3 linked regions of the Nothobranchius furzeri genome follow. The protein of the gene in region 3 interacts with the protein of the main gene of each other region in a pairwise test. Links are inferred from orthologs where the notes say so. Each region holds a gene or a part of one and is shown on either strand. Other genes may lie near its edges. The genes, in order: bend7, prkra and lyar.

Region 1 (2,686 bases), on a different chromosome or scaffold from region 3:
TTGAAAAGAACAGCTTTAAGATGCATACATAAAATACTGAAAATAAATATTTACAGAGGACTATTGTTTTTTACATTACAATTAAACCAATCAATGTAAAATTAATTATAAAAAATTAATCAAATATGCATCGCTTTTGAGTATAAGGTTTGCAAACAAGGTGGATGCTGCACATTACACCCATTGAACCACTGGTCACTTAAAAGGCACAATCCACAATGGAAAAACCTCTTTCGAGATGAGTTGTCCTAACAATAATTTAATGCTGTTCATTTTTACAGCATTATGCCTTGTTCGATATGTCTGATCTCCATTATATTGGCAAATTTTCTTTAAAGGTGTAGAACACTGAAATCCCACTTTTAAGATCTTATTTTTTATTATAATCGGCCACTCTGAGATGCAGGCTGAACATGAAAAAATTCTATGCCTAGCTCCTGCATGCAAACTAGATGGTGAAAACTCAACGATTTGAAAAGACTGACAGATCTACATCACATTGTCACCAAACATTCATGGGGTGTTTCTTAATGTGAAGGAACTTTGACTTGACGTCTTGGTCCTGCCCCGGTTGCCTAAGAGAAACATCATCAGGAACCGCCAAGGTGTGTTCCAATGTTCATGTTCTACCGAGGCATCCTAGCTGAGCTGAGCAAGGATACACGGGAGGTGCCTTGTAGCCTGGCCCTGGTCAAAAATTTCCCAGAATATAGCATATATATATATATATATATATATATATATATATATATATATATATATATATATATAGTTGCCTATAGTAGTTGCAGATTCGGTTGCTAACAGGTATAAGTTGCTTACATATGTACACAATTTAAAAAGTATAAGGCTTGTTATACGTTTATATTGAAACTCATACGCATAAAATATAACGTTACCTCATGTATCACGTGACAAGACATGACCGCCGTGGAAGTTGTGGTCATGTCATGCAAGTCTGTTCCATTTAACCGTTTCCTTTGCCCAAGGAAGGACAGTGTCCTCGTAAGCGAGGCCAGGCTCCTTGACATTGAGAAATACCCATGGACTCACCCATCTTGACCACAACAGGGAAGGCTGTTGTTTATTTAACATCCAGGAAACAGCAGAGAATGTATTGGCTAGTAGAAGCTAACTGTTAGCATCAGCAACTTCACCACACAGCAGAACTCCTCCAGGCTTATATGGAAATAAAAATCAACGTTGCAAAGCAAACAGAGTCAGTGGTAGAGCTGTTTAGCTGTCCGAATTTCAGGAAATCAGACTCCAAAACATGCCGTCTGAAGCTCAGCTGTGATGTGGCTCACTTCTAGTTCCTGGAAATGGTGCATCAGTGCACCCCAAGTACGACTAATAAGGCATTCATTCCTACTGCAAACATATTGATTGAATGAGTGTTCCACACCTTTTAGGCATTTGCTTAAACCGTGAACAATAAATCACTTATTTTATTTTATTACATCAGTATTTCCTGGCACAAAATTCCAGATCCAAAAGGATGTCAATCATGGACTGCTCATTTAACACAATGTAAACCATATTTGCTCATGATGGATGCTTTCTCGTTTGGCCCTTTTATTTTCTTTTACCCATTTTACCTAATAGTTAACAGTTGCAAAATGGCATAATCCAACACTTACAGTTAGAGAAATAACGAGGACAAAAATAATCAGCTGAACTCCAGCCGAGGCAGCTGTTGAATCAACACGTTACATTCTTCAGTGTGTGTTCGTCACATTCAGGTTTCTTATAATCACAGCCTGTATAGGAAGAAAATATTGTTAGTATATAATTTAATGCTGTGAACTATAAAACAAAACAACAGCGAATTTTATGTAAGCATGTGTGGCAAGTAGAGAATTTAGATATTTGACAGCTGTGGCTACGTTGTAAAGGTGAAAGAGTGAAAACGATGCACGTTGTGAAGATAATTAGCTGACATTTTGGGAAGCTGCATGAAAATGTCAAATGTCAGCGCGAAAGCATGCCATAGCCTGGTGAGCCAATGAGGGAGCCAGAGACACCAATTTGTGGGTGTGTTGTGACAATGGAGTGAGGAGAGGTGAAGCCATTATGTGCTCTGAGGGGGGCTGATGAAAAGGTGATGTAAGATGAAGAACCAGTGCAAATGTAGGCAGTTTTGTGTGAGGTTCTTACTGGTCGATGGTCCAGTTGAGCTTTCCTCAGCTTCTGCAGCATCTATTGACCCAATAGAACAGCTTTCGATATGCAACTTGTTTATTTTACTTAAAGAAAACAAATGACTGCTTCAGACCTCGTTTCAGCCTCCTCCTTGCAAGTTTGATCTGGTCTTGAAGGATCTGCACCCAATCTCGAGGCCCTGGCAACTTCTCTATTCTGTGATTGGTGCAGTATTTTTCTGTAAACACTGGCCACAAGTCACTCAAATAATTAGAACATTTGTCTTTATTATGCCAGCAACAAAGAGTGAATTGATCTTGTTTTACCTTTAATTGCACCCACAATGTTTTGGTCCAAACCCTTACGGTTGTCATTGAGCCCACGTTTCCTTTTGCCATTTGGCAGAGAGTTGGCCAGAGTAGCGTCATCAAAGAAGGCACACACCTAAGGACAAAACACAGCTCCTGATCTTAGAAGTATGTTTAATTTTTGCTTTTTAAAATCCCAGAAGCGTACCAGTTTGCGAAACAGCAAGCTGCCAGAG
Region 2 (3,758 bases), on a different chromosome or scaffold from region 3:
ATTTGTATGTTTATTGATGAGCTCTTGTAAAAGCCCAGGAGTCTGCCTAGTTATTTCCAAAGAAGCTGAGTGTGCCAAATTTCAGCGCCTTGACACGACATTCTAATTCTGAACATGTTTTATGTTTCATTTGAGTTGGTGTTAGGTCTTAGTTTTTGCTGCAGAATGGAGTCTGCCTAGTTATTTCCAAAGAAGCTGAGTGTGCCAAATTTCAGCGCCTTGACACGACATTCTAATTCTGAACATGTTTTATGTTTCATTTGAGTTGGTGTTAGGTCTTAGTTTTTGCTGCAGAATGATTTTATTTAAATTGTCCCTGATGTGGCACTTTATATAGCCAAAGCAATAAGCATTTAGACTGAAAATGAATTTATTACCAACTTTGTTTTCTACTGCTATCTAGGTGTAATCATGACAAATTCAAGCCTCTAAACAATCTTAACTGTTCAACAGTACTATATATATATATTTTTTTTAATTTCTTAAAGAATATATTTCTTATCAAATACATTAGTGGAAATGTTCTGGGTGCTTATGTCCAACAGTTATTGGATGAGAGGCAGAGTCTGACCTGGACAGAGTCTCAAAGGGACAAACTTCTACTCACATACACACCTAGGGTCTAATAGAATTGACAATTACTCAAACATGCATGTTTTTGCACATTAGGAGAAAGCCTGAGTTGGTGTGTATGGAGAGAAAATGCAAACTATGCAAGGTTCCAGCTGGGATTTGAACCCAGGATCTTTTGATGCATGGCAACAGTATTTATGGCATTTCCGTGTTCTTTGTCAAAATAGTAAAATGTGGCTATTTAGATTATTGTAATGGGAATAGAAAAAAATGTCAAATGAACAAAGTTGATGAAAAATAAACTTTGATACAAAGTATGCTTTGTCTAAGAGTAACCTGGAAAAAAACTGGTTTCCTATTATAATTAGTTTTCAAAACTGAAATAAAATTTGTGTCAATTTAGTCTTACTTAATTTTTGCATCACATAAATACATTTTATTTATTGTTTTGCTAAAACGTTCCCCCCACTAGTGAGATACAATTTTAGGTTTTTGATTGCAGTCCATTATCTCAACCAGCAGGGGGTGCACTAAATCGCTGCAACCACTTCCGCTGACCCGGATGTGAACACGACTTTTATTTCCCTTTTTCTCCAGGAAGGATGCAGCATTTTCTTCGTTTAGAAACATGAATATGTTTAATGTGAAGAAAACCTGAAGCATTAGATTATATTTATCTTTATTTTTTAAGTTTCCACCAGATAAATTCCTGCTGACCTCCGTAAATAATCCAACATGTCTCAACAGGGGTATCAGTCACCGGACGACAAAAGGTTTGTAGCGTTATTATTTACAAGTTAAATTCAAATCATTTACAGAAACTAGTTAATGATTTTATCTTCTTGTGTGCGTAAAAACAACAGTACGGTTTAAATGGACGCTTCAAACCATTACATTGAAAACCAACGGTTATACATACATTTATTTCTCCTATTTAACAGATTATAGATTGTTTTTGTGATGAAACAACAAAATAATTTTATATTAGAAGTAATCATGAAATACTCGCAATTAGCTACAGTTCCTATTTTTCCTAAACAGTTTGGTAGACACCATATAAAATTCATAAAATATAATTTGTTCAACCAAAATAACCCCAGATTAACCTGTAACAAAGGTTGCATGTTATTGTTTCTTTGTTAAATATAAGTTTGGATTCACAAGAAGCAGAATGGGCCAGCCTGGGGAAGACCCCGATCCAAATCCTGCATGAGTATGGGACTGCCAGTGGGAACGCTCCTGTGTACGAGATGGAGAAAGCTGAAGGAAGTGGCCACCAGCCCAGCTTCTTCTTCAGCGTGAGAGTTGCAGACATTCGGTGTACAGGTAGGTACTACCTAGGTACTTCCTAACTCAGGAGGTAATTTATTGTTGAGGTTTCATGCTGAAAATCCAGTTAGAACTCACTGATCACGTTACAGGTTAGTCTTTTGCTGCTGTAAACTCTTAAATGCATCATCAGCGTGTCCCGTTGCACTTCCAGCGTAGACCTGTGCAAAGAAAATTAAAAATAATTGCAAAAATTTTAAGCTAGAAATTAAAATCTGTGATAAGATTCACTTAATTTTGCTTTTGAAACAAATTTGTTTCGTTATATTTTATTTCAGGTCAAGGTCCTACTAAAAAGGCTGCTAAACACCAGGCTGCAAGTGCTGCGCTGAAGCTGTTGAACCTCGATTCTAAAAAATTGTGAGTGAAGTCAAAACTATTTGCTTACCATTAGTTCATTTACCTGGTTTTTACAGCGAAAACCAAAGAATGTACAGCTTCTATCGGGGTCTCATATGTGAATATTTTAATGCTGCTTAGGCTGCAATAGGAATTTTATTTGTAGTTAAATAATTTGACAGCATTATCTGTAAAGTTATAGAACAAATATATTCAGCAACGTCAGTCGTCAGAAGTTTTGCGTTTTGTTGTATTTATTTGATTTCTTATAACTGTTGAAGCTCTAATGTGTTTGACGTGACGCCCAATAGGACCTCTCCTGGGAAGTCCGACACCAACGGGGATGCAGCGGATGCAAACTACAATCCCAGCTCTGTGTCCCTTCTGCAGGTGTGATCACGTTACATCTTTTATATGTCACGTTTGCTTTTGTGAAAATGTAAAATTATTGTTTTATGTAATTTCTGACGGTCTGTGTTACAGAAGAGAGTACTTATCTTGCTGCAGCTGTTTTACAGTCATGTTTGTATTATTTAACCTTTAAGCAACTGATCAAGGGTGTCATTTTAGTTAATTATATATCATTTTTCTCTTCATATTAATTGACCTAAAATTAAAAATTATTATTAGGAGTTAACGATCCAGAGAGGATGGCGTCGGCCTGAATATGCAGTTCTAGCTGAGTCTGGTCCACCACATCAGAGGGAGTTCACTGTCGCTTGTAGATTTGACTCTCTTACAGAAAAAGGAAAGATTAAACATTTTTTTCAGTCATTTAAATAGTTTGTTTGTTTTGGTTCTGTTGTTTTAATCCTGTTTTATTTATTTATTTATTTTTAGGTGTTGGAAGTTCTAAAAAAGCAGCAAAAAGGGAGGCTGCAGAGAAAATTGTGGCAAAGCTTCAAAGTTTGTCAGGCGGTCCGGAGATCACCTGGGTGAGTCAGGTCTTTCATTTCACCTCCTAAAACATCCACAAGATGTTTGAAATGTTCTTGTTGCTGGTTTTTCAGACTCCTAAACCGAGTGTCCTCCTCGAGAATGTGAAAAAGTCCTCCGCAGAAAAGATTTCCCTACTGAGGAGAAGCCCGCTGAACATTCCCAACGCGGATTACATTCAGATGTTGTTGGATCTGTCCCACGAGCAGGGCTTCGAGGTCACATACTATGATATTGGTAAGAATTTAGTGCTTTGGTTGATGTTTGGAGGCTTCTTTTATCCCGAAAGGCAGAAAAACAGACTCAGGGGAGACCCTATGTCTGCCTGTAGAAAATCCCTGACTGTGTTCATGTCTGACAGATGAGCTGACTGTAAACGGACAGTACCAGTGCCTGGCAGAACTATCCACCGACCCCGTCACCATGTGTCACGGCACCGGCATCTCCTGCAGCAACGCTCACAATGTGGCGGCACATAGCGCGCTCCAGTACATCAAGATCGTAGCCTCCAGCAAATAGACACATCCGCCTGACCACAGCAATCACAGATATCAGCTGACGGCTCGTCATAACAAGGTCCT
Region 3 (3,758 bases):
TTTTCAGCTGGCACAGATGTACAAGAAAGGTTAGGTTGAGGCACGTTTCCAGAGGTTACAGGAGTGTTGTTTCGACTCTGGCTCATTCCAAGCTGCTCTTCTGATAACACTAAAGGACCTGGGCCCTGGTTTGAAGCTGCACTACTGGTTTGCAGAGCACTTTGTTTGAAGTACTGCTTACTGTAAAAATTACGGAGCTTATATCCATGAACCAGCTGTTTTTCTACAGGTGCATGAGAGCTGCTAGGTATGTCACCATTTGTGCTGTTGCTAGGCAGAGAAACTGGTATCCTTCTTGTGTGGTCCAGGTCACTGTAAAAATTTGGCCTCTGGGATTCAGAGGTACAGTGAAGGTCAACATCATGTGGAAGACCACTGCCCAGAAGACAGTCATGCTCTGAGCTCAGCATGCCTGGGAGGGAAAAGGAAGACAACTCTGCGGGTGGGGGGCAAGGCTTGAGGAAGGCGTTACACATGGTCTGCACATTTGGAACCTGCAAGCTCTGGGCAATGTCCAGAAGCGCTTGTACGTTTTCTTGGTTAACGTCGAGATGGGAGGTATACATGTAATCCAATATTTGACCAATGCCACTGACATCCTGGATAACCAGGTTGAAAACGTCGCTCTTCTGACTTGGAGAGTTTTGGAACAAAGACCTGGAGAAATCCAATTATAAAACAACTCAATCATCTATAGAATCGCAACATGATTAATAGAGAAAGCTAAAAAATACAAAAACATGTGGATTTTTATTCATTAAATTGACTTTAGGGCACCTGAAATAGGAACTGAAAGCAGCCAGGACATTTTTGTGGGCTTTGAAGCAAACACCTTTAACCACCAACATGCAGTCACAAAGAAGTCCCTGAATTCTTTGTTCCTGGAGCTGCTGGAGAAGGTATGAGCTGTGGCTGGACAGGGAGTCCATGGTCACTCAGCTATTGGACCTCTCTCAACTTCAACCTTACATCAGGGGAAAAAGAAGAAGAAAACAGCTTATCTGTAGCTAATGGGTAACAAACAGCTAAACTGGGTTACAAATGCATTCTTCAGCTGATTCTGGATAAACTTTTGAACTTCATATTTTCATCTATTTTGTTCTGTAAACAGCAGATTTCCGCTGGGCCGAGTTACGAGACCAGCCATGCAAAAATAACAAAATGTCTGCACCAAGCGATCGCAGCAGTGCGTAGGAAAATTGGCTGAACGCGAAATTTCTTTAAAAAATAATGTTTTGAAAAGTAAATAAATTAGATTAACTGCCAACAATCAACTTTAGAAATAAACAAAGCCAACAACTCCCTTAATACATTCCTACCTTTCATTGGGATGATGGGTCACTAGACTGTGGTGACTTACGTCACTTCCTGGTACAGCGCCTATTTCGAAACATGAACACAGATAAATAAATATATATTCTGTTTTAATAAAAGGAATTACATGCTTGTAATTTTATTGGTTAAGGTAATCAAACATTTTTGGCATAATGTTTCCTCTCCCAATCTTTTAACGTTATTTTAATAATTGTAGGAACGTTTCTTTGGGAGCATTTTCCTCACGGAAGGCTAATAATGTAGGATTGAATTGCGTGAAGTATACACGTAGGGAATCAGTAAATGTGCTTCTAGGTGTTTTTTTTGAATCCGATAACTTTTATAAAAGCAACGTATGTTGTTCATCCGCTTGAAAATATTAATTGGCAAATATTATTTTCTACTTTTGTTAGTAGGTTTATTTTTTGTTGTCCACATTTGACCGTTAGCGCGTGCCAAGTCTAGTACTGGGGGATTGTTCCACATTGAGCATCAAACGTTGTTTTAACTTGCTTTAAGAAGCTAAAGGCACCGAGACACAGAAGTCACTGAATTGCTTTTAAAATGGTGTTTTTTACTTGCAACGCGTGTGGTGAATCGTTAAAAAAAGCTCAGGTTGAGAAACACGTGAATATGTGTCGTGGTTGCCAAGTGCTGTCCTGTATCGACTGTGGAAAAGACTTCTGGTAATGGCTGGCCGAGTGTTTACAATCCATAGATTTCTGTTCACAGACTTTTCTTAGTGTAAACTCTTCCATGCTTTCTACAGGGGTGATGACTACAAAGATCACAACAAATGTATAAGTGAAAATCAGAAGTATGGAGGGAAAGGCTACGAGGCTAAGGCAAACAAAGGAGATGTGAAACAACAGCAGTGGATTCAGGTAAACTTCTCTCACCGAACGGTGGTTCCTCCATCCATCCATCCATTTTCAGCCACTTATCTGGAGTTGAGTCGCAGGGGCAGCAGCTTAAGCCGAAAGGCCCAGATTTCCCCCTCTCTGGCCACTTGGGTCAGCTTCTCTGAGGGAACCCCAAGGCCTTCCCTTAGGTCTCCTCCCAGTTGGACGTGCCTCATCAACCTCATCAAGGAGGCGTCCAGGAGCTATCCTGACCAGATGCCCGAGCCACCTCAACTGGCTCTTCTCGAAGTGGAGGAGTAGCGGGTCTACTCCGAGCCCCTCCCGGATGACTGGGCTTCTTATCCTATCTCTAAGGGAGAGCCCAGCCATCCTGCAGAGAAAACTAATTTGGCCGCTTGTATCGCCGATCTCGTTCTTTCGATCACTACCCAAAACTCGTAACCATAGGTGAGGGCAGGAACGTAGATCGACCGGTAAATCGAGAGCTTTGCCTTCAGGCTCAGCTCTCTCTTCACCACGACAGATCAGTACAACGCCCGCATCACTGCAGATGCAGCAACAATTCCCCTATTGATCCCACGCTCCATCTTTCCCTCACTCGTGAACAAGTCCCTGTGATACTTAAACTCCTCCACTGGAGGCAGGACCTCATCCCTGACTCAGAGAAGGCATTCTACCTTTTTCCGATTCAAGACCATGGTCTCGGGTTTAGAGAAGCTGCTTTGCACTCTGCCGTGAAACGCTCCAGAAGAAGTTGGAGATTACATTTTGATGAAGCCAACAGGACCACATCATCTGCAAAAAGCAGAGACCTGATCCTCAGGCCACCAAAACAGATCTCCTCAACAACTTGGCTGTGCCTAGAAATCCTGTCCATAAAAGTTGTGAACAGAATCTGTGACAAAGGACAGCCAGGGCGAAAACTACATTGTTCATCCTGAATCTGGCCTTCGACAGTCCAACAGACCCACCTTTACAGAACCCCTGAATAGACCTTTCTAAGGAGTGTGATCTCCCTGTAGTTGAAACACACATTGCAGTCCCCCTTTGTAATTAGGGGGACCACCACTTCAGTCTGCCAATCCAGTGGAACTACCCCTGATGTCCACGCGATACTGCAGAGCCGCATCAACCAACACAGCCCCACAACATCCAGAGTCTTAGGGAACTCTGGGCTCATCCACCTCCAGAGCCATGCCACCGTGGAGTTTTTTTTTTGGTGACCTCAGTCCCAGAGATTGGAGAGTCCATTCCAAAGTCCACAGACTCTGCTTCCTCCCTGGAAGACGTGCCAGTAGGATTGAGGAAGTGTTCCACCCATCGATTCACAACGTCCCGAGCTGCTTGCCCCTCCTGAGATGCCGGATGGTGGACCAGAATCTCCTTGAAACCATACGGTGGTTTGTTGTTGACTGAAATATTTTGTTAAAATTCAGACTTTATGTATCTTTTTTTTCAGAGAGTACATGAAGCCATGAGCAAACCGGGTATCAGTGCCAAGCTGAAAGATGTGCTTAGACAAGTCAGTACGTATGATAACGTTCCAAGAAAGAAAGCGAAGTTTCAGGTTGGTACAACTGT

What was found.
Region 1: the proteins of lyar (region 3) and bend7 interact in binary tests that used the Homo sapiens proteins (3 or more experiments, as listed by UniProt). The two-hybrid records come from large-scale screens. The link is inferred for Nothobranchius furzeri from reciprocal best matches to the Homo sapiens genes LYAR and BEND7.
Region 2: the proteins of lyar (region 3) and prkra interact in binary tests that used the Homo sapiens proteins (3 or more experiments, as listed by UniProt). The two-hybrid records come from large-scale screens. The link is inferred for Nothobranchius furzeri from reciprocal best matches to the Homo sapiens genes LYAR and PRKRA.

What each region holds. Positions count from the first base shown.
Region 1 is NC_091744.1:72,597,923-72,600,608, forward strand, and holds the end of bend7 (BEN domain-containing protein 7), read right to left. Parts: coding exon 2,659-2,686; intron 2,587-2,658; coding exon 2,469-2,586; intron 2,390-2,468; coding exon 2,276-2,389; intron 2,200-2,275; coding exon 2,158-2,199; intron 1,761-2,157; coding exon 1,702-1,760; 3' UTR 578-1,701; downstream 1-577.
Region 2 is NC_091754.1:21,792,976-21,796,733, reverse strand, and holds the start of prkra (interferon-inducible double-stranded RNA-dependent protein kinase activator A homolog), read left to right. Parts: upstream 1-1,156; 5' UTR 1,157-1,308; coding exon 1,309-1,346; intron 1,347-1,723; coding exon 1,724-1,899; intron 1,900-2,180; coding exon 2,181-2,262; intron 2,263-2,552; coding exon 2,553-2,631; intron 2,632-2,871; coding exon 2,872-2,990; intron 2,991-3,082; coding exon 3,083-3,176; intron 3,177-3,251; coding exon 3,252-3,414; intron 3,415-3,538; coding exon 3,539-3,696; 3' UTR 3,697-3,758. UniProt on the Homo sapiens protein: Activates EIF2AK2/PKR in the absence of double-stranded RNA (dsRNA), leading to phosphorylation of EIF2S1/EFI2-alpha and inhibition of translation and induction of apoptosis.
Region 3 is NC_091743.1:56,230,004-56,233,761, reverse strand, and holds the start of lyar (cell growth-regulating nucleolar protein), read left to right. Parts: upstream 1-1,563; 5' UTR 1,564-1,878; coding exon 1,879-2,000; intron 2,001-2,083; coding exon 2,084-2,198; intron 2,199-3,636; coding exon 3,637-3,744; intron 3,745-3,758. Other genes in the region: zbtb49 (zinc finger and BTB domain-containing protein 49), read right to left, coding at 1-657, 778-929. UniProt on the Homo sapiens protein: Plays a role in the maintenance of the appropriate processing of 47S/45S pre-rRNA to 32S/30S pre-rRNAs and their subsequent processing to produce 18S and 28S rRNAs. Also acts at the level of transcription regulation.